4 linked regions of the Diceros bicornis minor genome follow. The protein of the gene in region 3 binds, or shares a complex with, the protein of the main gene of each other region. Links are inferred from orthologs where the notes say so. Each region holds a gene or a part of one and is shown on either strand. Other genes may lie near its edges. The genes, in order: NUP58, CETN2, NUP93 and NUP54.

Region 1 (7,023 bases), on a different chromosome or scaffold from region 3:
AGATGGCTGTTGGAGACCCAGCCATGTGTCTAAGTTTCAGGCAGCAGGAAAGAAGAAGGAAGAGAAAAGCCAAAGGGATGTATGCCAGGAAGTCTCATCTCACGTCTCACATTTACATCTAATCGGCCACATTTACCTGTAAAGGAAGTTGGGATATGTAGTTGTTTATCTGGTTAGTGTGCTACCTTGAAGAAAATTGGGATTTTTTTTTAAGGAAAAAGGGAGGAGTTAAAAATGGTGGCAACAAGAGAGCTTCCCTCCTTTATTTTATGCTGACATTGCCAAGTTTCTTTTCCTGATCTTCTCCTTATCCATTATCGTTATCAGGTCATGAAAGCAACTATTCATGTCTCATCCCCCACACTCACCAACAGGAAGGACATAATTTCAAAATAAATGACCACACTTTGACTTAAATATATTTAGTTTCATGGAAAACTCCCTATACTGCTTTCACTTTTCTCATTTCTTGGAGGAAACAGATCATTACTCTTCTGATCTGCTGGAAGATCAAAAGTTGGAAACACGTTTTAGCGTTAAGCTTTCTCCCTCTAACGTTTATTTTGGAAAATTTCAAAACTACAGAAAAGTTGAAAGAGTAGTACAATGAACACTCATATACCTTGCTTGTAGAGTCACAAATTGTTAACATTTTGTGACACTTTCATTATTGATCTATCTCTTTATAAATTTTGCTGTTGGATCTTTTGAAAATTTAATAGGATTTTAAGAGGAAGGACACTATCTAAATCTTTAAAGTCAATAGACTCCCTTCTGAGAATACATTCAAGATAGAGGGAAATTGGTTATATATATAGTCTCTAAAAGATAACTTCTCTCTTGGATATTTCAGAGGATCAGATCATACACATTACAGATCCCTTTAAACAGACTTGAAATTCCCACTTCCTTTCTGTTTTAGAACCTCTCGACAGATACTTCTCAAAGGGTTGTCCCAATCTGAACACACCACTGAAGCAAGCCTATTTAGATATTTCAATGCAAACTCAAATTAGAATCTTTTTACAGTGCTATTGCTTTTCAGATAATTCAGTTTGATTATGACATTAGCAATGTCATCATACAGCCGGTAAATCAGCAAAGGATGGGGTTTCTTAACAGAATTCTCACAACGTAAAAAACAAAGAGAAGCAAAGTGGCTTGCCATAGAATTTAGGATCTGAATCACTTGCTTCATTCTTGGAAAGCAGTAATTCACATAGAATTGATACACAGTTCAGGTCCCATAATCTTGAAGAGGAATATTTGGACCATCTTTTGGAATAGGATGTGTTACTCTCACTAGGTACGGAAGGTTAAGCGAAATTCCAGTGCTTCGTTGTTTTGCCTGTCTGAGTAGGCTTTAGGCTTACACAGGCATAAAGCTTATGTTATTGCCATTTTACTCTCAATTTTTCAATTGAATAACCAAATAATTTGGCTTATAGAAACTGCTTTCTTTGGAGTTTTATTTCTGTAGAACATAAGGACGTAAAGTGTTTTATTTTCTTTTCTTTTTGCTAACAGGACAAACAGAAGAAGGCAGAAAAGATGAGAAAGGGTCTTCGAGGTTCAGTCTTACACTTGGTGCATCTAGAGGCACATGGTAGATTGTACTACTGTTCAGCAAATATTCCAGTTTCTATCTCTGCAGCGCTTCTCTCTGTGGGATTTTTGGGGTTACTGCAGCATAACTTAAACTACTCTGCCAGATATAAGACAGAAGTGCCATTAAAAGACATAGGGAGCCACTTTCTATCTTCCTACCAAAATCATCTGGATCCACCTTTTTTTCCAGTCAAAAGTACCCTAGACTTTATATCTCCCGTCCTCTTATTGACTATCCTACAGTCGTCACTGATAATAGCATTCTCTCCGTCATTGAGGCTCTAAAACCCACATTATTTTATTTTTATCTTCCTGTTCAATCATTGTGAATTTTTTCTTTATAATATAGTTCAAATATGTCCCTTTTCTTTTTTGTTTTATCATTCCCATAGTGACCAACATAATATTTAAAATGCCATTTAATTTTTTAATTATACAAACACAGAGGTGGTTTATTAGTCTGCTCAGGCTGCCATAACAAAACACCACAAACTGAGTGGCTTAAACCACAGAGATTTATTTCTCACAGTTCTGCAGGCTAAGTCCAAGATCAAGGTTCCCACAGGCTCTCTTCCCAGTTTAAATAAGGCTGCCTTTAGGCTGTGTCCTCAGAGGTGGAGAAAGAAGGAAAGTGAGTTCTCTTGAGTCTCTTCTTATAAGGGAACTAATCCCATCAAGCCCCGCCCCCCCATGACCTCATCTAAACCTAATTACCTCCCAAAGGCCCCATCTCCAAGCACCATCACATTGCGGGTTACGGCTTCAACATAGGAAATTTTGGAGAGATGCAATTCAGTCCATAGCAGATGGCAACGCCCAAGCTCAACACAGGAGAAAGTGCTGCATTGAGAGGAGTTGTGAGATGTGAGGTTAGAAAGATTGGTCATATAGAGGACATTGAGTGCCAGGGTAAGGAACCACTCAGTTTTTGATCAAGGCAGTGTTGTGGTGAGAATTATGTTTTAGGAGAGAAAATCTGGTGACTGCTTATGGCATGAATTTTATTGGAAAAAACCGCAGGTAAGAAAACCATTTCCGAGAGTAATGTAACAATTCTTGATGGAAAAATGAAGACCCACATTACGATGGCAGCACCTCCAATGCACCACCGCCAGGAAACCTGTCCTGATCCTTTTGCCAGAGGGAATTGCTTCTTCAAACCCACATTTTTCTTATGTTTAAAGGTCGCTCATAGCAATCTTATATTTCGCCTTATATTCTACTTTTTTCTGTACTTTTTTTTTATCCCTTCCACTTTGCAGTTCCTCTAGTAGGTAGCACAGAGGCGACTGAGCGCTGCAAAGCCGGAGGCAGCCATCCAGGCGGAGCCCCAGAGCAAAGGCCCCAGGTCCGACACTTAACACTGCAGGATACGCTGACACTACCTGTGGACTGGACAACACCCTTTGACATCCAGGGGCTTGGCCAGTTCTGTTTGCTCAGCACCACTAACAGGACTGGCCACTCCACCCACGAAAGGACGCTCTTCTGAGCCCCCTTGGTGGCCGCCACATGAGGCTCGCAATGACTGCCCCTCACCGGCTCCGCACCCACGGAGCGCTGACGTGCTGCTCACGTCCTGGGACGGATGAGTGAACTCAAGGCATACCTCGGAGATACTGTGGTCGCTTCCACACCACAGCCGTCAAGTGAGTATCACAATAAAGCGCATCACACGAATATTTTGGTTTCCTAGTGCATGTAAAAGTTACGTTTACATTATACTAGAGTCTATTAAGTGTGCAATAGCATTACGTCTAAAAAACAATGTACATACCTTAATTGAAAACTACTTTATTGCTAACAAAAGCTAACCATCATCTGAGCCTTCAGCGAGTCACAATCCTTTTGCTAGCGGAGAGTCTTGTGAAAAACGCAGTATGTGCGAAGCTCAACAAAGCAAAGCACAACAAAACGAGTATGCCGTACTATCGATCGCTTTCCAAACCGTCAGGAACAGACACGCTCAGTCCTTCCTGGGGAACGGGTGGCACCCAACGAAAGACTGGAATCGCCCCCTTTTCTGAAAGAGGGGCTTGGACTGCTCAATAGCGCCTGCCCAACTCTGGGATTCTGCGCGTCCTTTTTTGGTAGTAAAAAAGGATATGAGCAACAGTCAAGAGTCAACGGCCATAAAGTACAAAACACCGTAGCACAGGCGCCGAGAGAAACGGCTTCGTTGGGTTTTAACCAGGCGCCCTCCCCTTAACAGAGTAGGCGGTGGCCCGACCCCACCTCTCCCAGGCTGCCTTGCGCGGCGCGCCGACCCCATCCCCGTCCCAGGGTTCCCTGCGCGGCGGGCTCGCTCCCGTGGGCTACGTGCGCGCGGCGGGCTCGCTCCCGTGGGCTACGTGCGCGCGGCGGGCGCCGGAACTCCACCCACCTGGGCCTGGTCTTGGCGGCCGCTGGGGCTGGAAGTTCCCGCCAGGCCCGGGCTGGGGGCGGGCGATGCTGCCTGGCCTGCCCCGGCTTTGAGGCGGGAGGAGCGTCCCAGACAACTTTCACCTTGCCGACCGCGCGGAGCCCCGGGCAGCCATGTCCACGGGGTTCTCCTTCGGGACCGGCACACTGGGCTCCACCACCGTGGCCGCCGGCGGGACCAGCACTGGCGGCGGTTTCTCCTTCGGGACAGGCGCGTCTAGGTAACCGCGCTTCCTCGCCTTTCCGGCCCGGGTCCTCTCCCGGGGCTCCCGGAGTGGGGAGGGGTCCCTCCTCTCTCTCTTCTCGCTGTCTCCTTCCTGGTGGGCCTGGAGAAGAAGCCTTGCCCGGCGCCAGCTTCGTAGGCGTCCCGCTCGCCGCCCTGCGCGGGCCCTCCCGGCGGCCTGGTGGGAGGAGGGCGATGGTCTGTGTGTGGTGAGGACCCCAGAACCTACGATGGTGCGGACGTTGTTCCTACCGAGCGAGGTCTGGCGGGGTGAAAGGGCCTGGATTGCACCTCTTGAGCCCTGGCGATGCGTCAGTCTTAGGCATAGAATGAATGTTGAACGAATGAATGAGACCATAGCTTATTGTGACTAAAAGACAATTAGTAGAAAATTTTAAGCAAGACAATTAAAAATTTCTCCCTGATAATTCAGATTCCAGTGCAGGTTTACGGTTTTGGACATTACAGGGCTTTAATGATTTCATGGTTATTTTAAACAAGCTTTCAAGTCTTTCTGCCTCGTGGGACCCTGTCTGTCCTTTTTTTGGTTTGTTTTAAATACTTTCTACAGTATTGGTGATAATTTTGAATAGTATAGTATGTGCAAATGAGTATATCATAAGTGAGAATGTTGTGTTGTAATGACTCACATTGTCTTTTACTTAAATTGCAAGACGTAGGTAACATATTCATCGTTTTTGTGCAACTTGCTACACCACCACTTCAGGTGGTGACAAAAATTTGGGTAGCAGAGGTCCAGAAAGAGGCAATTAAAATAGTTAGAGATCATTCTAATTATGAGACATTTGATCTTTAGAACTCAGTCTTTTGAGGATAAAACTGGAGGAGTTCATTAAATCAGGAAATGTACATAGAATGAGTTACAAGATACCTTCTGAAGCTTGAAGAATGTGGTTGTAGATTAAAAAGGCAAAAATACCTTCAGCATTGTCTGTATTAAAAGGGGTGGGGGGGTCACAGACTACACAGTCAAGTCAGAAATCTGAGAGTTTTCTGCGTAGTCAAGTCAGAAATCTGAGAGTTTTCCTTAATACCTCCGTTTCTCTCTACACACTTACTCAGCAAGGGCTGATAGTTTTAATTCTTCAGTTTCCATTTGCTTCATTTCCAGTGCTACTACCCTGTTGCAAGCTCTTATTTTTCATGGAACAAATATTTATTGCACTCCTATGTAGTAAGCTCTGTTTTACAGGGTAAGATAAATAAGAGTCCTACTCTCTTGAGGCTGACATTCTTACAAAAATACTTATGATCACTGCCAGGTGTTTAACCAGTAACCTTTCTCCTGTTTGAGGAAAACTTCTCCCACCATATCTTACTTGGATTAATTCAACGGAATCCCAATTGCTGTCTCAAAAATCTACTTTTAGGTCAATCTTTTTACCACATTGTAACCAGAGTGACTTTTTAATTCCCTTTGCCTCTCTTCAGTGATTTTCCACTATCACTGAAATGAAGTAAAAATAAATCTTACCATGATCCGCAAGATCTAAATAACCTGGAACCTCTTCAAACTCATCCTGAGTCTTTTGGGGGAAAAAAAAATAAATAACATTTACATTAACACCCAGTAGAGGCACACAAATAAGTAACTGAAACAAAGTTTCAAAGAAAGATAGTTACCGTTGCTTCGTGTGATGTCGTTTGATATTTTCTATTCTGTTCCATTTCATTTTTTTAAATGCTGGTTGTGATCTGCTAAATTGATTTTATACTCCTCTGATGAGTCCTGATCTTAGTTTAAAAAACCGTGCTCTAGCAACTTGGGCTTTTTCTCAGTTCCCCAGGTGGGCTTGGCCAAACCTCTTCCCACTTTAAGGCAATTCGTTTTGGCTTGGAATTTCCTTACTACTACCTGACCTGTATGCCAAGCTGATGCCTACTTTGGGGACACTAATGGTTGCTTCAGAGGGGTCTTTTCTGAGCTGTCAGTCTAGAGGAGGTCTCCATCCTCATAGTACTCTGTACCATAGCACTTATTACTGTAATCAGTTCGCTGTATTTTTTGTTGACTTGTTTATTGTCTGATCCCAGCAATAGAATGTAAGCTCCATGGTGGTGGAGGCCTTTTCCTACTGTTTTTCTAGTTGACAGAGTGGAGCTCAATACGTATTTGTTGAATGAATGAATGATTAATTAATCTCTTTCTCTCACTGACTAGAAACCTCCTGAGGGCAGGGCGTGAGTCTTATTTGCTACTCCATCATCAGTCCCTATGACAATACCTGGCATATGAAAAGGGCTTTAATAAATACTTGTAGAGTGACTGAGTAAATGAATTATTAGTAGTAAACTAGAACTTTACACAGGCTTTTGAAAGGCTTGGATAAACTGATAGAAGGAGAGATAGTCTAACATCTGTCCGTTGGAGTTCTGGTTTGGAGGCCTGACTTCCCTTAGCGTCATCTGGTGATTTGGTCCCTTTAGGTAAATCATTTTGGAGAAGTTACTTTCCAAGCCTCAATTGCCGCATCTGGAAAAGGGGTATAAAGCATTTACCTCAGAGAGTGATTGAATGAGATAAAGCGCGTAAAGTATTTAGCATCACATTTGGCACTTAGTAAGTGCTCAATAAATGTTAGCTATTCTGTTAGTTACTAAGTCCACATAAGGCAAGCTGGGGAAGTTAAAATAACATGCCTGACCTGCTGGAGTCCACTTGGCTTTTCTACAAGACATCCTGTTGAGGCATTGGCAGGTAATACTGGGTTGAGGCAATAATTGGTCAGGTCTGGGGTAGCTTTTGTTTT
Region 2 (7,564 bases), on a different chromosome or scaffold from region 3:
GGCAGACAGCCAGCACTGGGGTCTCAAACACTGTGACCGCTCCAACCCAATTCCACACCTCGAGTTACACACACACAGTCATGTGTCCTTGTAGGAACCAAAATGGCCTTGAAACAGACGTCCTCAATGTCTGATGGGGCAATTTTGGGGAAACATATTTCTGAAACCATAATGGAAGCTATCAGGAAATATATTTCAAAACTTCTTTTCATAGACCTTTTCAGAATGCATATAATGAATAAGCAAAGTTGACCTGGAGTTCTATGCCTATCCCCTCCCTCTCTCTATCCCATAATCCTCCTTGTGTTGACAGGGGGCCCTGTCATCTGTTCACCCTAAACAGATGTGACTGGTGAGCTCTGACTCACTGGGCTCAGTGTGTACCAGCTGGGGAACAAGAATTTCGGCACTTGCACCGAGGTCCAGCAAACAGAGTGCGCTAGCAGTTCTGTCTGCCTTGTTCACCACTGTATCTCATCATGAACACAGTGCCTGGCACAAACTGAGCACCCACATCTCCACTGGCCCCATGAGTACATGGCGTGTGCACATGCCAGGCAGACTCCCTTCTGCTCTCCACCACATACACACAGACGCCTGCCTAAGATGCTACATTCATGAATACCCACTGCCGGCTTCTCACTCAATTTCTCCAGATACTCAGGGAAGCATGATGAAATGAGAGGGCAGACAGCATTTGGAGTGATGCAGTCACAAGCCAAGGACACCCTGACTTCAGACTTCTGGTCTCCAGAACTGTAAGAGGATAAGTTTCTGTTGTTTTTAGCTACCAAGTTTGTGGTCATTTGTTACAGCAGTCACATGAAATCAACACAAGTTTTCTTTGCAGTCCTGAACTCCAAATAGCACAGCTGCCACTTCCATAGCCCCCCTGTACTAGTAGAAAAGCAAGAAGCCTTAAAGCCTGCTCTCCGCAGTCTCTCGGGGATGATCCGGGAGGTGAAAGAAGAACCCATCCTGCCCCTGTGGATCCATACTGTTCAAACAATGCTCACGCGATCCTCAGCAAAGCAGCCTCTTGTAAGAACAAAATCAAATCTGCTTTATCTCGAGTTATACACACATTGTAGTAAAGTTTGTAAATACTATAAGCCAGATAAGAATTTTGGTGATACTTAGCCATCTCTAAGGAATAAGGCAGATCCCACTGGCACCCCTCAACCTAAATCCCCCATGTGCTACACGGTAGGGATAAAATGCACATCAAGAAGAGCTCTGATTGAATAGACATTTCTCCAAAAAATATATACTTTACACATGGCCAACGAGCACATGAAAAGATGCTTAACATCACTAATCATTAGGGAAATGTAAATCAAAACCACAATGAGATATCACTTCATACCCATTAGGATGGCTATTATCAAAAAAACCCAGAAAATAGAAAATAACAAGTGTTGACAAGGATATAGAGAAACTGGAACCCTTGTTCACTGCTGGTGGGAATGTAGAATGGTGCAGCTGCTGTGGGAAACAGTACGGTGGTCCCTCAAAAAATTAAATATAGAATAATCATAGGATCAAACAATCCACCAAACAATATCCCCCAAAATTGAAAGCAAGGATTTGAACAGATATTTTTACACCCATGTTCACGGCAGCACTATTCACAGAAGCCAAAAGGTGGAAGCAACCCAAGTGTCCATCGACGGATGAATGGATAAGATGTGGTATACACACACACACACACACACACACACACACACACACACAATGGAATACTACTTAGCCATAAAAAAGATGAAATCATACCATTTGTGACAACATAGATAGACCTTGAGGATATTATGCTAAGCAAAATAAGTCAGATGGAGAAGGTCAAACACTGTATGATTTCATTCATACATGGAAGATAAACAAACACATAGATAAGGAGAATAGATTGGTGGTTACCAGAGGGTAAGGTGGTGGGGGGAGGGTGAAAAGGGTAAAGGGACATAAATGTATGGGTGACAGATGGAGATCAGACTTGGTGGTGAACACGATGCAATCTATACAGAAGCTGAAATATAATGATGTACACAATGTTATAAACCAATGTGACCTCAATAAAATAATAAAAAGTAAAAAAAAAGCAAATGTGGTATATACATATAATAGAATACTATTCAGCCTCAAAAAAGAAGGGAATTCTGCAATATGCAACAGCATGGATGAACCTCAAGGACATTATGTTTAGTGAAATAAGAACCTTGGGGACATTATGCTAAGTGGAAGAAGCCAGTCATGAAAGGACAGATACTGTATGATTTCACTTGTATGAGGTCCCTAGAGTAGTCAACTGAGAGACAGAATGTAGGATGGTGGGTCCCAGGGGCTGGGGGAGAGGGAGGAGGAGTTAGTGTTTAGCAGGTATAGAGTTTCAGTTCTACAAGATGAAAGAGTTTTGGGGATGGATGCACAGCAATGTAATTGTACTTGACGCCCCTGAACTGTATACCTACAAATGGTTCAGATGGTCAATTTTCAGTTCTGTCTATTTTACCACACATACACACATAGCTCTGAATGGGAAAATAAGACCTCAAAGAGCATGTTCTAGGGGCTGGGATCGTTAAGGTTCACACATCGGAAGCCTCAAGTCTTTTTCCTTTAAAACAGTAGGTCTTTGAATCCATTAGAAACCAGTATGTACGCCCTCTATACACACTGGGACAAAGTCTTAGGCTAAAAATGACCTAGGAAAAGAGACCCACATTCTAATGGTGAAATCCAAGTGCCTCGCTCAACTTCTGGGCAAGGGGAAGAGGGCTGCTGATAGGATTCGATGAATAGAGAAGTGAGTGAGCCCAACTCCTCCTTCCTGCTGGGGAAAGTTCCCTGCCACTGAGTCCTGGAGACAAAAGGAAGGGATAGTCTGTCCATTTCAAACCAGATATATATAGAGAGAGACACTCAAGTGTTCTCTTCTTCAAAAACATGGGAGATCAGCCTCTTTGTAAATGGAAATGCAGAGCAATTCAGAGGGGTGTGTTGGGGTAGCTGGGGCCCTGCCTGCTGCCTTCCATGGAGTCAGTGCGGGAAGCTAAAATGTGGCTACTGCAAGCTCATCACTTTAGTCCATGGACAGACAACATCTGCCTGTGCAAGAAAAATGCAAAGAGGACTTAAGACAAAACGCACTTCCCCCAGGACTCAATCAGCTCAACCTTGTCTTTTCATGGACCTGTGGGCCTCTCTGCTTGTCTGTTTACTTTTAGGACACAGAAAGGCCCTGGCTTTGAATTTGTGCTGGCCACTGAGAAACTCATCAGCATCCTGCGAGCTTTAGCTAATGCTGTTCCCTCTGCCTGGAATATCTTCCCCTCCTCTCCATGGTGAGTTTCTCCTCATCCTTCAAGGCCTAGCTCAACTGTCACCTCTGTGAGACCTCGTCCCCCTCCCCAGGCAAGGTTAGCTGCCTCCTTAGCACTCATTTCTGCTCCCATTCTGACACTTAGCACGCTGGTTTATACTTTTTTTCCACGTCTGTCTTGGCTCACTAGGCTGTGAGGGCCAGCAAAGAGCCTGGAACGGAGTACAGGTTGAATTGTGCTGCTGCAGCTGGCCTAAGAGGCCTCATCTGTAGAGCAGCAATCCTTCCTGCTGACCTCACAGCCGCTGTAGGGCTCAAACAAGAGACGTCCAGTGACTTTCCCAAAGTCACACAGCTGGTACACGGTCAAGGCAGAATTTGTGGTTGTTCCTTCTACTCTGGCAGGATGCCACCCCGCAGACTGACTGGGAAGTAGGGTGTGAAGGGACATGATGTTAGAAGGACTAGGAGGGGCAAAACTGGGTAGAAGGCTCAGATGCCAGGCTGAGTGTGGACTTTATTCTGCAGTCACGGGAAGCCTCTGAAGGTTTCAGAGCATGGGGGTGACCTCAGCAGAGCTGTGAGAAGCAGGAAACAGGGGGCCTACTTGCCAGTTGCTCAGCAGAGATTTACCAAGCACCCACCATGTGCCCCTCCCTACTCCAGGTACTGGAGGGCCAGCCATGAACAAAACAGAGCTGCCTGCTCTCCTGGAGCTCACCTCCTAGTGGATGGGTAATAAAGAACAAAATAAAGAAGTAAAATACACAGTAGGTTAGAAGGTGATACATACTATGGGAAAAGAGTAGAGCAAGGTGCAGGGCTTGGGGGTACTGGGGGCTGCAGTGCTAAATAGGGTGCTTAGGGTGGCTCACTGAGAAGGTGACAGTTGAGCAAAGACCTGGGGGAGGGAAAGAAGTGAACCAGTAGGCAGAAGGAACAGTAAGAGCAAAAGTTCTAAGGTAGGAAGGAGCCTGTGCATTTGAGGCCAGCAAGGAAGTGTCCCGGGGCCATAGCGAGCCAGAGGAGGAGTGGGGGTGGAGGGAGTCATGCCAAACCTTGCAGACCATGGTGAGAACTCTGGCTTCTGCTAGGTGGGAGGCTGCTGCTGAAGGCCTGAATTGGAAGAGGAGCCACAGAGGTGGAAAAGAGAAAAGAAATGGCATTCGAGGGGGAGAACTGATAGAACTTGGAGGCTGGTTAATGGGGACGGGACAGGAAAAGAAAGAGTCAAATATGACCAAAAGGTTTTCGACCTGGTTCATGCTCAAAGGGGAAGAGGGCAAAGGGCAGAAGGTCAGTGAACACTTTAATTTAACGGACACTAATAAATCTCAGGCTTTTCTCAGCCTGAGAAACTTATGCTCTGTCCCCTGCCTCCCTAAATGCTGCCCCAATGCCCAGAGGAGATGCAGGTAAGGGCTGAGAGCCACGGAGCGCTCCTACACTGCGCTGGCTGAGGAGGGCAACCCTGGACCTCCAGCTCCACTGCTGCAGCTCCATTTCAGCCACACCCTTGCACATGCCCCCTTGTAGTTCTCCAAGCACGCCTCACACTTCCAAAACTCCTCAGGGTGTCTCGACCTGGAATGCTCCTCCCTATCCGCCTTGAGTGTTTGGGTGTCAAAAAGAGTATATCTTGATGACTTCTCCCCCTCATGCTCGCTCATATTTCCTTCACTCTCTTCAAAGTCCGTTCCCCGCTCCCAGCTCACCTGCCTGGGCTGCTTTTAGCCAGGTGAGAACTAAAGTGATCCTCTCTTGGAATCTGGTCTGGGGGACAGGGCTGCTTTCGAAGAGACACCCTCAAAGATCCTCTGCTGGATTCAGCTTCTAAGTCCCAGCCGTCTGAACCTCTGCGACAATGCTCGGCCTGCCCCTTTCCTTCTCTGGATCTCAGTTGCTCCGTCAGTACAGTTTCCACTCCAACACCCAAGGTCAGGGTCTTCTCTGGCCCCTCTGACCCTAATTCTTAGGCCGGACCAGAAAGCACCCGACCCGGATCGTCCACCCAGCCCCTGGCCCTCCCGCCCTGTCGCCGACTCAAGGCAGCCTCCAAGAGCGAGGTGGCAACCCTTACTTGTCCGAAGGCGCCCTCCTGGCCGGCCTCAGACAGCACGCCCGCAGACAGCACCCACACACCTCCAGCCGCCGGCGACCACCCTTTTCGCTCTGCCGCATGAGCTGAGGATCAGCCGAGCCTCCTCCACTAAGGGGATTGGCTCGGCTTGGAGCAGGCTCAGCCAATCGGCGCTCGCGGCATGATCCTGCCCAATGAGGCCAGGTCTTGGCCGCGAGCGCACCGCCCCCCGCCCCGGCCCTGGCCTTTGTCGGGTTAGCCCCACCCACTCCAGCCCTGCGCCAATGGGGAGCGGGGGCCGCGCGCGCGGGACAGTGGGATCGGCGCCGAGTCAGTGTGTACGTCGGTTGCCGTAACAACAGGCAGCGGAGTCGGTCGGAGATGGTGAGTGCCGGCAGCCCTGTCGCGCCTGGCGGGCAGAGGCTGAGCCCTTCCTAGGCCTCGGCCTGGCCCCGCTGCCTTTGCTGCGCCGTTCTTGGCTTTGGCGCGGCCCTCCTTCCTCTGAACTCTTTCCCGGAAGAGTAGGGTAGAGACGCCCGGCGCCCTGCTGGGCCTGTGATTCGCCGCTGCCTCCCCTTCACCCACAGCCGGCCTCAACCCGCCTCTTGGGCTCCCCTGGCCTTCCCCGGCCCCCTCGGTGACCGTCAGTGGGCAAAGAAGACTCGGATTCCCCGCAGGTCTCAACGCTTCTCAGACGCTGGCCTCCTGGCCGCCTCGCTCTACCAAAGTTTCCGCACAGAGCTGGGGGGAGGTTTATTATGTTTGATTGTTAACGTGCATTTTACAATGTAAATATAGGGACATTTGCGAGACGCTTTGAGCTTCTTGGAGAAGGCACAAATGTACCGAGTGGATTGAGTTTTATTATTCGATATTGACAGGCTATACATCTTAACTTAGTAATATTTGGCCAAATCTGGAAGTAATCAGAAAGTACTTAGAGGGAACTGGAGTACCGCAAGTGGGTGTTGTAAGGACGTTTCTATAATTAGGATCCCCCAATTCAAGGAGAGCTGATCATCTGTACAGTTATCCACAGTCAGCTCCTTGGCTAGCTCTCTTTGGGGGTGATTTTCAACAAGAGATATCCAAAAGAACAATTCTTGGAAACCATAGTAAAGAAGAGAGAGGGATAGAGGTGCATGGAAAGACTCATTATTCTTTCCAGTAAACTCTATTATCTCTTCTGCTAAGCAAAGCTTTGGAATTGGTTGGTATAAACTATTTTTAAAATAGATATGGTTGTCTGTAACTTTTATGTAAAGTATGGACTAAATTGCATAATATTGTGCTTATGTGTTTGTAAAATGTCTGAAGGCCTCCAGCTTTAAGAAGGCAAACATGGCATCAACTGCCCAGCGAAAAAGGATGAGTCCTAAGCCAGAGCTTACTGAAGAGCAGAAACAGGAAATCCGAGAAGCTTTTGATCTCTTCGATGCTGATGGAACTGGGACTATAGATGTTAAGGAACTTAAGGCAAGCCCTGTGCATTCCTGCTCTGCTGCCTTGCCTTTCCTCTGCCTCTTTATCTTCTTTCCGCTCTACCCCTTTTGCCCTCTTCTCCCTCCAAAAAATAACAGGGGAGGATGCACTGTGCTCTGTTTTCCTGTTTTTACTTACTTCAAGTATTATTAAATAAAATTGAGCACAAATATCGATTTGCTTAATGTTATAGTGTTTCCTAATCATTTTAACATGATTGTGTCTGATGCTGGCTCAATAGTCTCAATGCTGTCATTTTTTGTCCCTCTAGGTTTAGATGTGCTTATTGAGATGATCCTGTTTTCGTTGTAGGTGGCAATGAGGGCACTGGGATTTGAACCCAAGAAAGAGGAGATCAAGAAAATGATCAGCGAAATTGATAAGGAAGGGACAGGAAAAATGAACTTTAGTGACTTTTTGACTGTGATGACTCAGAAAATGGTAAGTTAGCTAAAATAATCAGCATATTTTCCACCCATAATGCTGCATACATTTGAATCATGTAAGTGTCTTCACTGAAGAAAAGTTAATACAAACTGGAGAGTTCAGCTGATAAAGGATAGTATTTGTAACTGAAAATTAGGATGCTTCGGTTCTACTTAGCTTTCTTCAAGGCCACAAAGTCACAAGAAAAGTCATTTTACCCTTTGTAAAGTAGTAAAAGTACTACTGCTGTCATTTTTTGC
Region 3 (7,236 bases):
TATATTGCACGTGAGGGCCAAGGACATTCGATTGGGAAAAGCTTAATGAATTCTGGCCTACTGACATTGTAACAAGCGTGCTAGATGAGCTGCTAAAGGATTCAAGTGATGCCTGCATCCTTCAGGATTATTTTGATTGCAAGTGACAGAAAACCCAACTGAAAGTGAGGAAAACATGCACTTTTTTTTCTCATGCAACAGAACATTCCAGGAATAGGTTTAGCTTTAGCTTGATCCAGAAACACAATATACTGGATTCTAGCCTCTCTCTACATCACTGCATTGCTCTGTTCTGTAACGGCTTTGTTCCCAAGCAAGTTCTTCCCTCATGGCTAATAAACAATCAAAGTTTTAAAAGGTTAATTTCAGGGAGTGAGAACTTCTGTGAAAACACCTTCACAGTTCTAATTCCAGTGGTAAAGAGAACAATTGTCTGAGTGGAACATCTTGAGAGTGAATTTTCTTAAGTCATAGACCCATCCCCGAATCAGCCCTGTGGCCAGGGTACTGGAGTACTCTGATTGGCTAGGCCTGAGTCACATGCCACCAATCAAAATACAGGGACTGAGAGTAGGGGAGGGGCGGGTCGGCAAAGGGGAGCCAGGGTGCTGAACAGCAGATGTCCACTAGAGACCCACTGTCCAGTAATACAGTCTAGTGTACTGGATGCCCATCCCATATACTTAACGAGTTAATCTGAAGACTAAGGATATCTGACAGTGCTCCAATTCAACCAGACAAGAGTGCAAAGATTTGCATTTTTTAACGTGACCATGCAGGCAAAAAAGGTAAAGTTATGTACTTGGCATGTACATAACACATGCAAAATCTCTGCTATATGTAAGTGCTCCACCAAAGATTTCCTTTGAAAAAAGAGTTTTATTGGTAAAGAGTGTTTGGAAACCAACAGCGCAAATTGGGGGAGTTAAGGATTCCCTGCTGCTCCCCAGATCTCTTTTAAGCAGGAAAGAACGTGCAATTCCCCGACTCGGAGAAAGCGCAAGTCTTACGGGGACCCTGGAGCACACTTCAGGACAAGCCTCAGACAATGGTGCTTGGTAAGTTCTGAGCTCAGTTAAAAAGCGATGTTGGAGAAAACTCTTCTAAACTGTATAATTAATTAATAGACAGAAACAGCTCCACAAATCACACCGATACAGACCTTGTTGTCAGGAGAAAGAAACTCTTGTTTTTGTAGCATTTGGACAAGAAGACCATTCAAGGAGTGGGGTTGGAGGTAAGTTTGGAATCCTCAAAGGAAATTCTTTGGATTATATACCTGGGTAAATATTGGGAAGCTGATGTTTGTTTTAACTCTTGTGCAAACAAAATGAAAAAACAAGTTTTAGTTATTTTTTCTGATTATAGGAGCAATGCATGGTCATTTCACTGCAGAAACTATGAAAAGTGCACTAGCTTTTCAGGGCTTGCCTGTGCTTCCAACCACCCAGGAGAGACTCTGTCCCCGTCTTATCATATTTCCTTCTCTTTTTCTCTCTCTAATGTGTATTTTTAACAAAGTTGAAGTTACAGTTATATTGTTCTGCTTTTTTCCCCTTCTTGGTCATTTTATCCTTTATTATTTAAAAATATTATTTTACACATACAAAATTATTTATATGTAATATATATGTAATAGTGATTCATAATATAACCAACACCTATGAACCAACTACCCAACCCAAGAACTAGAACATATCCAATACCTTACATCTTCCCAGGTGGTCCTCCCCATATCCCTTCCTATCCCTAGAGATAATTACAATCTGTAATTTCCTATTTATCATTCTGATGTTTTATAGTTTTATCACAAATGTATCTATGCATAAACAATATATTGTTTAGTTTTACTTGCTTTTTAATTTTATTAGGAATTTTGAGCTCATATTATACTATATAGTCTTCTGACATTTGCTTTTTCCACGTAACATTATATTTCCAAGATCCACCCATGTTGTGTTTGTAGCTGTAGCACACTCATTTTTCTTTGTTGTGTAATATGCCATTGTGATAATATCCACAATTTATCCTTTTTCTGTTAATGGACATTTGGCTTGTTTTTTTGCTATTATGAACTGTGCTGCTATGAAGATTCTTGCAAATATCTCCTGGTGCACATGTGTAAGAGTTTCTCTTGAGCATATTTCTAGGAGTAGAATTGCTGGGTTTTACGATATGGAAATATCCAGCTTTAAAAGGTAAGTGTCCTGATTTTTCATTTGGCAATGTTTCATGAATATTTGTCTATGTCATTAAAAATTCTTCTTTACATAAAAGAAAAAGCAAGGTAAAAGGATAAAACATTATGCAGATGCAAGACTATTATATTTGTGAATATTGTCTGACCACAGCAGGCTCTGAATACATATTTAATAGCTTTAGGACAAAGGCCACACCCATACATATTGTCAATCAGCACCAATAATTTATACAGAACCCACAATATGCTAGTGTGAAGTGTTCAAGATAAACAAAGCTGGACACTAAAGTGGTAAGACCATATTTTAATCAGTAATATACTATTGCAATAGGGAAGAGTCCAGCAGGAACTGAACTCAACTTGGATTTGTACAGAGGTGACTGGGTGTTTCAAAGGGAGAATGAGAGAACAGGGAAGGGGGTGAGCTACACAGAGTCAGGGAAGTGAAAAATTACAAAAAGTGAGAAGGAAATGTTGGTCCACATGAAACCATCTGGGTTTGCTAACTGGCGATTATAGAAGTTAGGCTCCTACTCTCCCACAGAGGCTGGGAGACAGGGGCCCCATCTTCAGATATTGGCCAGAACAAACAGTAAATTCTTCTGGCAGCCTAGAGTTTTCTCAGTCAGGTACTTTAAGAGGGGCTAGGGTCACCTAGGGATACGACCTTGAGCTGTTAGAAACTATGTTAGTGTTTTGTTCAAGTCTTTATAGACCATGGTTGAGGCCTAGAAGAGAAAATGGCTCAGAGGAGCCTGGCTAGAGTTCTGTCAAGGAGGGAATCTTTGTTAGAGGATAGAGGAAAGACGTGGTGAGGGTGGGCAGAGCACTGTTCCTCTCCTCTCTACCTCTGCTTACTCCATTCCCTAGACCAGGAAAAACCTTCCCTCTCTCTTTGCTAGGCTAATCGCTACTCATCCTTATGGCTCAGTTAAGGTGTCACTTCCCCCAGGGAAGGTCTCCTTGACTTCCAACCCTCCAGACTGGGTTAAACTCCCTTAGCATCCTTACATAGCTCTGTCGTGCACTTAGCACATTACACTGAAATAAAATCTGTTTATGTACTTGCTTCCTGACCTGATGATAAGGACTGGGCCTTATTCATTTTGGGACGTTGTGAGCACTAATGTATGTTGCATGAATGGACATTGTGACACTCCTGGTCCCACTATCTTTATGTGCTGGACAAAGCAGTAATCTCCTAGTGCCACTCTGCTGCCTACTCTCCATTCTCCAACTAGAGGGCTAGGAGGATCTTTTACAAAGGTAAGTCACACCTCGTGTCATACCTCTGCTTCAAACCCTCCAGTGGCTTCCATTTGCATGAAGAATAACTTCAACTTTCTTGCCATGGCCTGAAGCACCTGCAAAGTCTGGCCCCAGCCAACTGTGAGTCTTACCCCACCTGTCCTCATTCATCCTCTGCCGGCCATATGCCCCTTCTTTCTATTCTTCAAACAACAAGTTTGTTTCCCTGAGGAGCCTTCATTCCTGTTCCCTCTGCTTGGAATGTTCCACAGCCACGACTTTGCAAGACTGACCCTTTCTCATCATTCATATTTCAGTGGAGACGTTGTCACCTCCTCAGAGAGGCCTTCCCTGACCACACAGGCATTCTCTTTTCCATCACCCTGCTTTTTTCGTCTTAGCTCTCCTTACAAACTGGCAGTTATTTATTATATTTTTCCCCCCACCAGCCTGAGAACTCCATTAAGTCAGGGATCTTGTCTGTCGTGGTCGCCACTGTGCCCCCAGCGCCTAGAATAGTGCCTGGCACTGGGATGGTATTCAATAAAGGGTAAGAAATCATTGCAGGCAGTTCTGGAATCACTTTCTCCAAGCAGGGCCGACTCTAACCACGTGGGAGGGGTGAGGGCTGTGGCCTCTGGCATGCCGTGAGTGACTGCTCAGCCGCAGGCCCCGCCCCCAGCCCCGCCCTTGTCCTTGTCCTCCTCCACAGGTCTCCATAAAGTTCATTTGGCGGCGCGCCGCGCGGGGGCTTCTGGGAGCGGCCGCCTCGGCCAATCAGGAAGCGCGGGCGAGCGGCGCGAGAAGTGGCGGCGGTGTTCTCCGGCCGGGACCCCAGCGGCGGAGGCGGCTGCGGTGCCAGGTAAGGGTGAGCTGGCCGCGTCCTTCGACCCGGGACTTGCCCTTGAACCCCGGGCCCCGACGTGGGCGGAGCCGGGTCCCCACGCTCGGAGCCATGCTGCTCACACTTCCCGTTCGCCTCATGGCAGCCGGGCACGCGTGACGCCGGCGACGCGGCGCCCTGGCGAACCGCCCCCCGTTATAGCGCGGGCCGCGCCCCGGAGTGCCTTCCGTCTGCCCTCGTTCTGGGTCCGGAGCCCGGGCCTCCCGACTCCCCTCTCCCGGCGCTGGAGCGCTCTGCCGCGGCGCGCCACGCCCCCACCCTTCCCCTGCTCTGCGAGCCCACCATCCCCACCACGACCTTCTGGTTACCTGCCGACCGCGCCCTGCTGGCTCGCTCGCCCCTCGGGGGTACACCTTGTCCGGAGGTGTTGCCCTCCGAGGGAAGGGGTCTTTAGGGCGAGGGCGACGACGCTGTGAGCCTCTCCCAGCCCTTGGCCTGGCTCCTCTACCAGCATCCGGGGGAATGCTCTTCCCCATCCAGGGAGATGCTAGTGATTAGAACCCGCAGGTGGCCTGCACTTTCTCGGGCCCACAGCACCCCACCTTCTGCAAAGACAGTGCCCAAGTTTACGGGGTCTCGTTTTTTAGCGCAGGGGTCTTTGGTCAAAGTTTAGGCGACCCTTTGACAGAGCCGCTGCTCTGGGTTTGCCCCTCTGTCAGGTGTGAGGAGAGTTTTTTTTTTTTCTGTTTTGGCCGAAATGTCTTTCAGCATACGAGGGTCACCTTTAGTATTCTGTCTGGGGGCGTGAGAGGGTGTCCTTGGGCATCGTAGCTTTTCTTTCGTTCCGCTCTTCTCCTTTGTGCGTTTGTTTGGAACGTTTTCATATTTCATTCATGGTAATCTCATCGAGGCTCATAGTTTTAAATACCTACATATTAGGCTAACATCTCATATTTATATCTCCAGCCTGGCTCTCTCCCTTCACCTGCAGCCAGCTGCCTGCTTGATATCTCCACTGGGATGGTTGATGGGAACTCAAACTGACGATGTCAAGATAGGGCTAGCAAGCCCTCCCCCCCATCCCCCTTCCCAAACTGCTCTTCTTGCTGGTTTTTTCTCATCTCAGTAATATAAAAGGCTTTGGCCAATAACCTTTGAGTCATCCTTGCCCCTGCTGTCTGTCTCACTCCACCTGCAATGATTGCCGCCCTGGGCCAAGTCACCACCACCTCTCACCTGGATTATTGAAATAGTCTCCCATCTGGTGCCTTGGCCCCTCTTCAGCACAGCAGCTAGAAGGATCCTTTTAAAACACAGGTCAGATCGTATCACTCTTTTACTCAAAAAATCCTCCAATGGGTCCCTCGTTTAAAGACAAACTCTTTACAGTGAGCTATAAGGCTTTACATAATCTGACCCACTGTTACTTTCCCACTCTCCTTTTCTGCTACCCCCCCCTTCCGCATGTCAGACATGCTTCAGCCTCAGGGCCTTTGCGCCTGCAGTTCAATATCTATGTGGTTTACATCCTCACTTCTTTGAGGTTTTTAGTCAGGGGTCACCTAGTGAGGCTGTCCCCACTTCCTGCCTTCCTTTACTGCTTTAGTTGTTGTTCTTAGCACTTATATTTTACTTACGTATATTGTGTGTTGTTGGTCTTCCCCTCTAGAATGTGAAGGGGGGCTTTTTGTCTGTTTTTTTCCCTGGTGTATCCCCAGCACCTAGATCTGGAACACAGTAGGTGCTCAATAAATATGAAATAAATGCATGTTTCTGGCGCCGTTACAGGCTTGGGGATACAGTGGTGAATGAGACAGGCCTGCCCTCATTGAACCGTTGTTCCTGTGGAGGACACCACCAGCAGTAAACACACAGGTATAGAATGTAGTGTCAGGACTGTTTTTTAAAGGAGAAGGATATCAGAACAGAGACCTGGTTGAAATGAGACAGCAAGTCATGGGAATGTCTGGGGCAGGAGCATTCTGGAAGGGGAAGAGCAAGTACAAAGACCCTGAGGTGGGATCAGCTGGAGATGTAGTGAACTTGAATGTCTGAACCTGCTTCTTGATGGACTGAAGTAGAAAATAAGGTAGAGGGAAAGATGCCAAGAAGAGTGAGGAGTGAGAGCAAAGACCTGGAGGTAAGGGCCTGAGGTGTGTTCAGGGAACAGGTCGCTTTAATTCAGGAAATATTTATTTGTTACTTGTTATATGCCTCTTAGCAGCTGAGGATTCAGTGTTGAGCAGTCTGTGGGCCTTACCCTATAGGAATTCTCCATGTGCAGAGAGAGACAGATGTGGCAAGAAATCATCACAACTCTTCCACTGGAGAAGCACAGTAGTAGGTTCAGAATAGTGTGAGAGGGGTTTGAGGTAGGTGGGACTGCCCCAGCTGACTTTGCAACATACATAGGAGTCCCCCATGTGACAAGGTAGGTTTGGGTATGTGTTACAGCAGAGTGTGCACCTGCATGTGCAGGGGTATGAAGGGAGGAAACAGCATGAGGCACCCCAAGGAGTAGTGAATTGCTAGGGTATATTTGGGGGGAAGGCAGTAAGAGATGAGGATGGTAGGGGTGGCAGTGCCCGTTCTTTGGAGGGCACCCCGTGTAGCCGTGTCAAGGTGCAAGCACTTCCTCCTGTAGGGGATGGAAGGTGTCCCTGAGAGGATTAAGGCAGGGGAGCATTTCAGAAAGACCTCTCCTGCCCAGGGGAAGGTGGGTTAGAGGAATGAGAAGGCTTAGACTGTTGAGATAATCAGGCGAAAAGCATGCGAGTCAGAATAGGGGCGAGAGAGATGAGGGTTCAACTTTACAAAATGTTTGAGAGGTAGACCTGGAGATTGGCTGGATGTTAAGGAGAGGAAGGGGAGCCTGAGGTGACTCCCAGGTGGTTGCTGGCTGAATTGAGTGGGTGCTGATTGTTTTACCAAGAGAGTCTGGGAA
Region 4 (6,851 bases), on a different chromosome or scaffold from region 3:
GGGGAGCAGAGCCATCACAGGCCTCTGCCTCACAGTTTGGCAACTCTGACAGATACACAAATTTCATTTTGAGGTAAGTCTAGAGATGAAATTATTCTCAACCATATCTAACTTGACTTATGAATGGAATGAATGCTAGTCTATCAATCTAAAATTGTTTTATGTTTTTTTCCTTATTGTCAATCTTTACCTGATTATTAATGTGGAGCCAAAAAGACTTTTAAGACAAATGTTTGAACCATTAGTGCTCTCTGAGTTATGCCGCAGGTTTCTGGGGTTCTAACTTTTAATCTCATATATTTCTGGTATAAGAGACAGAGATTCATCAATATTGTAACATAAAAGAAGAAGGAAAGAAAAACAACCCTTTGATAGTCATATACTTCTGATTTGGAAAATTACTCAAGAATAGACTATATGTTGCATGCAGGCACAACCAAATACTCTATTTACTTGTAGGTTCTATTGCAGTACTGCAAACTGTAAACATTTTGATAAAATCATCTGAAGTACTGAACACTATTCTCAATCTTTTTCATTACTCCTCATTTTCACAGAAAAACTAAGATATATTCTGAATTTCGCTACACGATAAAAACACTAGTCAGTATCTTATCATGCTCCATCGTATCAAAAACCTTTACTAGTAATAGCGGATCTGCAAGGATACAAAATTAAAAAATAAACAAGAATTTCTATCAGCCCTTTGCTGAAGGCTAAGTTAATGAACATATATAAAAGTAGTTAAAACACAGTTATATTATTACAAGTCAAAACTTAACAGTAATAACTCCAAATGAACATGAAATCAAGCAAATACCAACAGGTTTATTTATTGTTGTTTAATTACGAGCTGGGTGGCTTTGTTCGGAAACACAAATTTCAAAACAATGTTTCTGTTTTACCCAGTGCCAATTTTAAGCAAACAGGAAAAAGTAAATATACCACACGACAGTGACACTGATCACTTTAAATATATCTGAATAATAATGGATTATTTTATCTTTGGAATTTTCAAGTATTCTTTTCAATATGTTTTCAAATCAGATGCCAAGGTGATAGTCACATTGCAGTAACAAATGACTGTTCAAAATATCAGACTTCCCAGTAAGTTTTAGGGAATAAATAACGTTTACCAAATGCATAAAATTGGCATGGGCATAAGTGGCATAAGGTAAGAGAATACAGACAATAAATTCATATACGAGCAGCTGAGGAACAAGACTTTTATATAGGATCATTGTATGTAAAGTACACATAGAGCTATTTTAAATTTATATATATACACACAGTTAATGTTTTAGTTTGTTTTGCAAAATTTCCAACAAGCTTCAAACAATCCATATAGATATTAAAACCTTCGTAATTATATTTTTGAATGCAAAGATGTCTAGCCTACCTTTTAGAACTCAATGCTATCTGACAATAAATTAAACTGCTCTCTCATCATTTCTCAAAAAATCCAATAAAGAACTGGGGATTATTTCTATAATTACATATCTTATGGAAATGTATCCTAAACTGCTGAGTTCACCAAAGAAATACACTATTACTATTACACAGGTTAAAAAATAAGACAGGTTACTGCTGTTCGTATAAGACTTGTTTCTCTTGGGAAACACAAGGACAATCAAATGAAATTGCAATGAAAGATGCAGGAAAAATGAAAAAATGACTGCAGGAGTCCAAGAATCCCAGGAAAATGGGCCTGACTGCTGAGTTTATACTTTGGAAGAGATGGCTAATCGTTTGGAAGATATATTCTACTCAACATAATAATCCATTCCAAATTCTTACACTTGGAAGGTATATTCTGTTCAATTAAACGCAAATTTAACAAAGGAACATTATAACTTGCAGAAACCAAATTCAAAACCTTTAAGACAGTCAAAACTTGATACAAGTGTTTTTGATTCGACATCAGGAAGCGAATTTCCTTTCCTTATTAGACAAGTCGCTGTTCTTTCCAAAACTCGAGGAACCACAAAATATTCTTGGACTCCAGCTCCCAACATTCGTTAACACATACGACCCGCAGTATCTACCTGCACTTGCCAGACTGTTACCAAAATTGAACGGAGTCGCCGAGGTAGTAGAAACACCGAAATTCCCAATATTAAAGTTCACTGCGGGATTAGCAGTTAATCCGAAACCCCCAAAATTAAACCCACTGGCGGTGGAGTTGGCAGTCTCAAGCCCACCAAATCCTGATAGGCGTGTAGGCAAAGAAACAAACAAAATTTTAAAAGGAGGGAGGGGAAAGAAGAAAGAGAAAAGAAAGCAAGACAAGGATTAGGAGAGTCAGCAGGAGGTTGCACAGAAGTGAACAAAGACAAACCCTGACTTGCTCCAAACGAGTTAAGAAGGCGGAGGAGGCGGGAACAGGAGGAGGGAGCGGCGTGCAGTCCCGCAGCGAGGACCGGAGGGGCCAGGCCGAAGGCTCCCGCGCTCCGGGGCTGACGCCGCAGCGGGAGCCCCGCGAGCGTGCCCGCCGGCCAGGAGGCGGGAGGGCAGGGCGGCTCTACGGCCAGGGGAGAGCGGGGCCGCCGGCAGTCTCTCCGAGGCCGACTCCTCGGCGCCGGGAAGCCAGCCCTCGGAGACGGGGCTCTGCGAGGACCCACGCGCGGCGTGCGAGCCCCGGGTTGGGCCTCGAGTCCCCCCGCGGCCTCCTGAGGAGCCGCCCCGGCCCGCTCGGCCCGCCCTTTTCCGAAGCCCCTAAAAAGTCTCCGCGCGGGCAGGAGACCCCCGGAGCCTCAAGCCCGAGGGTCTCGGGCCGAAGGGGCGGGCCAGGGCCCTCCCCACTCCCCGGGGGAAGATCCGAGGCTCACTCACCCGCGGGGGCCGCGGTGGCTGCAGCGGTGCCCGAGGTGCCCGAGGGGGCCCCAAAGTTGAAGGCCATGTCGCGGGAGCAGGGGACCGAGGCGCTGCTCCCGCGACACTCGGTGCACTCCGCTTTTCGATCCGGCGTGGAAACCGCCCCCGCATCACGGAGTTCCGCCTCTTTTCTGGCCTAGCCTGAGAGGCCTTTGAACGCGCGAAAAGCGTCCGGGGTGGAGGGCGGAGAGGGAACGTCCCCCGTCCGGCTAGCTTCCGGGGGCTTTGTGGCATCACGTGGCGTGGAGCGTCAGGAGGTGAAATGCTGGGAGCTCGCGGGGACATGCAGCCTGAGAGCCAGTGACAACTGCCTGTCCCTTGGAAGAGGTGTGCGGGAGGCTGAATACTAGCGCGTAATGAACACAGGGGAGGAAAGAAAGCCAGATCCTCATCCTCCATAGTGGAGTCAGTGGATAATGCTCGCACTGAAAATTCACGGAGCAGCGTGTCATCTAGAGGGTAAATTAAAAAAAAAAAAAGGCTAAAAGAAGTGCCTCTGAGAATGATGTCTGTTTAGGTTTTTTTAATATACCAAACCTTGTAGAATTGATTCTTAAATCTATGTGCTTGTATAACTAATAAAAATGAAAACAAGCAACAAATATGCCATTGTATCTGCCAAACTTACAAATGTCCGTGGACCCAGCAATGCTACTTCTAGGAATTTATCTTATAAATGATTTGGGAAAATGATGGAATACACGATTATTTGTTACAGCATTGTTTATAATAAATGATTGGAAACAAACAAGGGTTTGCTTAAATAGTTGCATTTATACAAAGGAATACTATTCAGCCATGAAATAGGAACAGTAAAGCTCTGTATGTACTGAAAAGATCTCAAAGATAAACATTACACAAAAAACCATTTAGAACACAGTATATGGTATTCTACAATTTGGGTGGGGGAAAAAAAGAGGGCTAGAATGAATAAACACACATATTTGTATAAAATATTCCTGGGAAGATACATTAAAAATAAATAAATAACATTGGATGCCTCTGGGAAGATGAATTGGTGGCAAGGAGATGGGTGGAGGGAGACTTTGCACTCTAAATTCCTTTTATGCTTTTTGAAAATGTAAGTGGGTTAGCTATTCACAAAATTAAATAATGCTAATAGTGTAATTGCAGGAGTCCCAGTGAGAGCGCTGATACCCGGATGAGGACAGCAGGCATGGAGACTGAGGAGCAAAGGACTTGGTGATTGTTGGGATGTGGAGGGGAGGGGAAAGGAGAAGTCTAGCAAGAGTCTCTGGTTTCTGGCTTGTACAGCTGGCTAGATTGTGATGCCATTCCCCAGTAATGGGAATTTGGGAAGAAGACAAGAAAAAATGAGTTCTTTCTTTACTTACTGGATTTGAGGACAACCTGGCTGAGGATAGGCAGTAGGTGTTTGGATATGCAGGGCTGAGGTTGAACAGAGGGGCCCAGGTTTAGGCTGTAATTGACCTCAGGGAGTCAATGGGATAGTCAGGGAGAGAGGATCAAGTGGGAAGAGGTTGCAGCCAAGCACCAGCATTAAGACGAAGAGAGCAGAGAGCCATCAAGGGAGCCTGAGGGAGAGTGGCCGGAGAGACAGAAGAACCAGCAGAACGGAATCACAGAAATTATGGATGGAAGGGGAGAATGATCAGGGATGGAAAAGGATGGGTGAATATTTCTTTGATACGAAGTCTTCCCTAACCACCGTTTTTAAAATAGCACATCCCACTCCTGTCACTCTGGCTACTCTACTGTCTTAGCACTTACCACCACCTATTTATTGTCCCCCCTCCCCCCACCCCATTTAATGTAAGCTCCACGAGGGCAGGGAACTGTGTTTTATTTACTAGTTGTATCCCTAGTGCTAGCAAAGTGCCTGCCCCCATGATAGACCCGTATCCAATACTGTGGAATGAACGAATGAGTTCCATGACATGTCCTTCTCCCTTGCCTTTCCCATATTCATCTCCAAGTCCTAAATATTTTATCTTTTAAATATTTCTAAAATACCTCATCTCCACTGCCATCTCCCTAATTCAAATTACCTCAATCTCTTGCCTAGACCAGGGATCAGCAAACAGCAGCCCACGGGCCATATGTAGACTGCTGCCATTTTTGTAATGTAGTTCTACTGGAACTGACACTCCATTTGTTTATGTGTCGTCTGTGACTGCTTTCACGATACAAGTGCAGAGCTGAGTAGTTGTGACAGAGAGGCTTACAAAGCCCAAACTATTTTCTATGTGGCCTTTTACAGAAAAAGTTTGCCAACCCCTCCCTAGACTACTGCAGTAGCCCCGCAGTGCAATGAGCAGGACTGTCCGGCTATGACCTGGGCAGGTCATTCTGGGTTGCCCGGAGAATGAGCTGGCTGTGGCTGGGGGTTCCCCTTTCTCTTAGGGGAAGTGGCTGCACCCAAGCTTAGGTCCCATGAAACCAGTGTCGTCTTCACCCCAGCAGTGGAGATTGTAACATTCCCCAGGCAGCTAGCATTCTCGGACAACTTCTGTAAGCTGTTGTCACCCCAAATCCAAACTGCCTGTTGCTCAGCAGCTTTTGTATTCCTCCTCTGACAAGACTGCTTCTTCACACTTGCCCTATAAAAAGGGGGACTAGAAGGTGGCTACATTCTTCTTACCGAGACCAAACAGTGCTCTTGCCCTTGGCTTGCTTCTCCATGGGATGACAGGAGGATGGAGGGTCTGTGCCTTTTTTCTAGCTGTCCTGGCCCTACAAATTTTTATTTTCCCCAATGAAACCCATTACTTAACCCATGCTATGTGGCTTTGTGGAATTCACCCTGGAGGCTAGTGGATGACACCCAGATAAGCTCTATCTTACATGCCAACCCACCTAACACAACAGCCTCCTAACTGACCTTCCTGCATCCATGTTGACTCTCTTCCAGTTTATTCATCCTGCAGCTAGAGTGAGTCTTTCTAAACAAACCTATCCTGTCTTCCAGTCCCCCCTCCCCAACCCAATTTACAACACTTCAGTGGCTTCTCATTGGTCTTAAAATAGACCAAAATCTTTAACATGGCTTAATAAGATCCAACATTGATCTGACCCCTGCCTTTCTCTCTAGCCTTATCTCCCACTATTCTTCTCTCTCTGAACTCTAGCCAAACATTTTCTCAATCACCTGTAAACATGCTCTTGGGCACATCCTGTTTTCTCTGTCTGAAATGCTTTGCTTTGCCTAAGTAACACCTACTTTCCAGTCTCAGTCAAATCTTACTCCACTGGGGAAGCCTTCCCTCAACTCAGAGTCATGTTACCAGACTTTACATTTGTGATTTTTGGTTACTGTCTGTTTCCCCGACGAGACCATAAGATCTATATGTCTCTTTTTGGTCACCAGTAGCCTAGTTTATAGTGCCTGGCATAAAGTGGCTGCTCAATAAAATTGGTTGAACACATTATTTTTAAGTATAATGTAGAAAGAAGCTAGGCCCAAAGACCACATATTGTACAACTCTATTTATATAAAATGTCCAGAAAAGGCAAATCTATAGAGACAGAAAGTGGTTTAGTGGTTACCTCGGGCTGGGGGTGGGAATAAGGATTAACTGTAAACTGGCATGAGGGAATTTTTTTTTTTTTTTTTTTGTGAGGGAGCTCAGCCCTGAGCTAACATCCATGCCAATCCTCCCCTTGTTTTGCTGAGGAAGACTGGCCCTGAGCTAACATCCGTGCCCACCTCCACTTTATGTGGGACACCACGACAGCGTGGCCTGACAAGCCGTGTGTTGGTGCACACCCAGGATCCGAACCCTGGCCGCCAGCAGCGGAGCGCGCGCACTTAACCACTACACCACTGGGCCGGCCCCATGGTGTGAGGGATTTTATTGAGGTGATAATAAAACCGCACAACTCAGTAAATTTACTAAAAACCATTGTATTGTACATTTAAAATGGGTGAATTTTTATAGTATGTAAATTATACCTCAATAGACGTTTAAAAATAAAAAATATATTAGTTGAATAAA

What was found.
Region 1: NUP93 (region 3) and NUP58 share a complex: the UniProt entries of both Homo sapiens proteins name them as parts of the p62 complex. The link is inferred for Diceros bicornis minor from reciprocal best matches to the Homo sapiens genes NUP93 and NUP58.
Region 2: NUP93 (region 3) and CETN2 share a complex: the UniProt entries of both Homo sapiens proteins name them as parts of the nuclear pore complex. The link is inferred for Diceros bicornis minor from reciprocal best matches to the Homo sapiens genes NUP93 and CETN2.
Region 4: NUP93 (region 3) and NUP54 share a complex: the UniProt entries of both Homo sapiens proteins name them as parts of the p62 complex. The link is inferred for Diceros bicornis minor from reciprocal best matches to the Homo sapiens genes NUP93 and NUP54.

What each region holds. Positions count from the first base shown.
Region 1 is NC_080748.1:8,794,132-8,801,154, forward strand, and holds the start of NUP58 (nucleoporin p58/p45), read left to right. Parts: upstream 1-4,022; 5' UTR 4,023-4,143; coding exon 4,144-4,250; intron 4,251-7,023. UniProt on the Homo sapiens protein: Component of the nuclear pore complex, a complex required for the trafficking across the nuclear membrane.
Region 2 is NC_080781.1:136,968,438-136,976,001, reverse strand, and holds the start of CETN2 (centrin-2), read left to right. Parts: upstream 1-4,552; coding exon 4,553-4,612; intron 4,613-5,031; exon of another isoform or gene 5,032-5,297; intron 5,298-5,396; exon of another isoform or gene 5,397-5,492; intron 5,493-5,600; coding exon 5,601-5,780; intron 5,781-6,713; coding exon 6,714-6,872; intron 6,873-7,190; coding exon 7,191-7,319; intron 7,320-7,564. UniProt on the Homo sapiens protein: Plays a fundamental role in microtubule organizing center structure and function. Required for centriole duplication and correct spindle formation. Has a role in regulating cytokinesis and genome stability via cooperation with CALM1 and CCP110.
Region 3 is NC_080771.1:10,272,631-10,279,866, forward strand, and holds the start of NUP93 (nuclear pore complex protein Nup93), read left to right. Parts: upstream 1-4,216; 5' UTR 4,217-4,310; intron 4,311-6,080; exon of another isoform or gene 6,081-6,167; intron 6,168-7,236. UniProt on the Homo sapiens protein: Plays a role in the nuclear pore complex (NPC) assembly and/or maintenance. May anchor nucleoporins, but not NUP153 and TPR, to the NPC. During renal development, regulates podocyte migration and proliferation through SMAD4 signaling.
Region 4 is NC_080747.1:61,633,249-61,640,099, forward strand, and holds the start of NUP54 (nucleoporin p54), read right to left. Parts: upstream 3,023-6,851; 5' UTR 2,900-3,022; coding exon 2,833-2,899; intron 2,208-2,832; coding exon 2,046-2,207; intron 1-2,045. UniProt on the Homo sapiens protein: Component of the nuclear pore complex, a complex required for the trafficking across the nuclear membrane.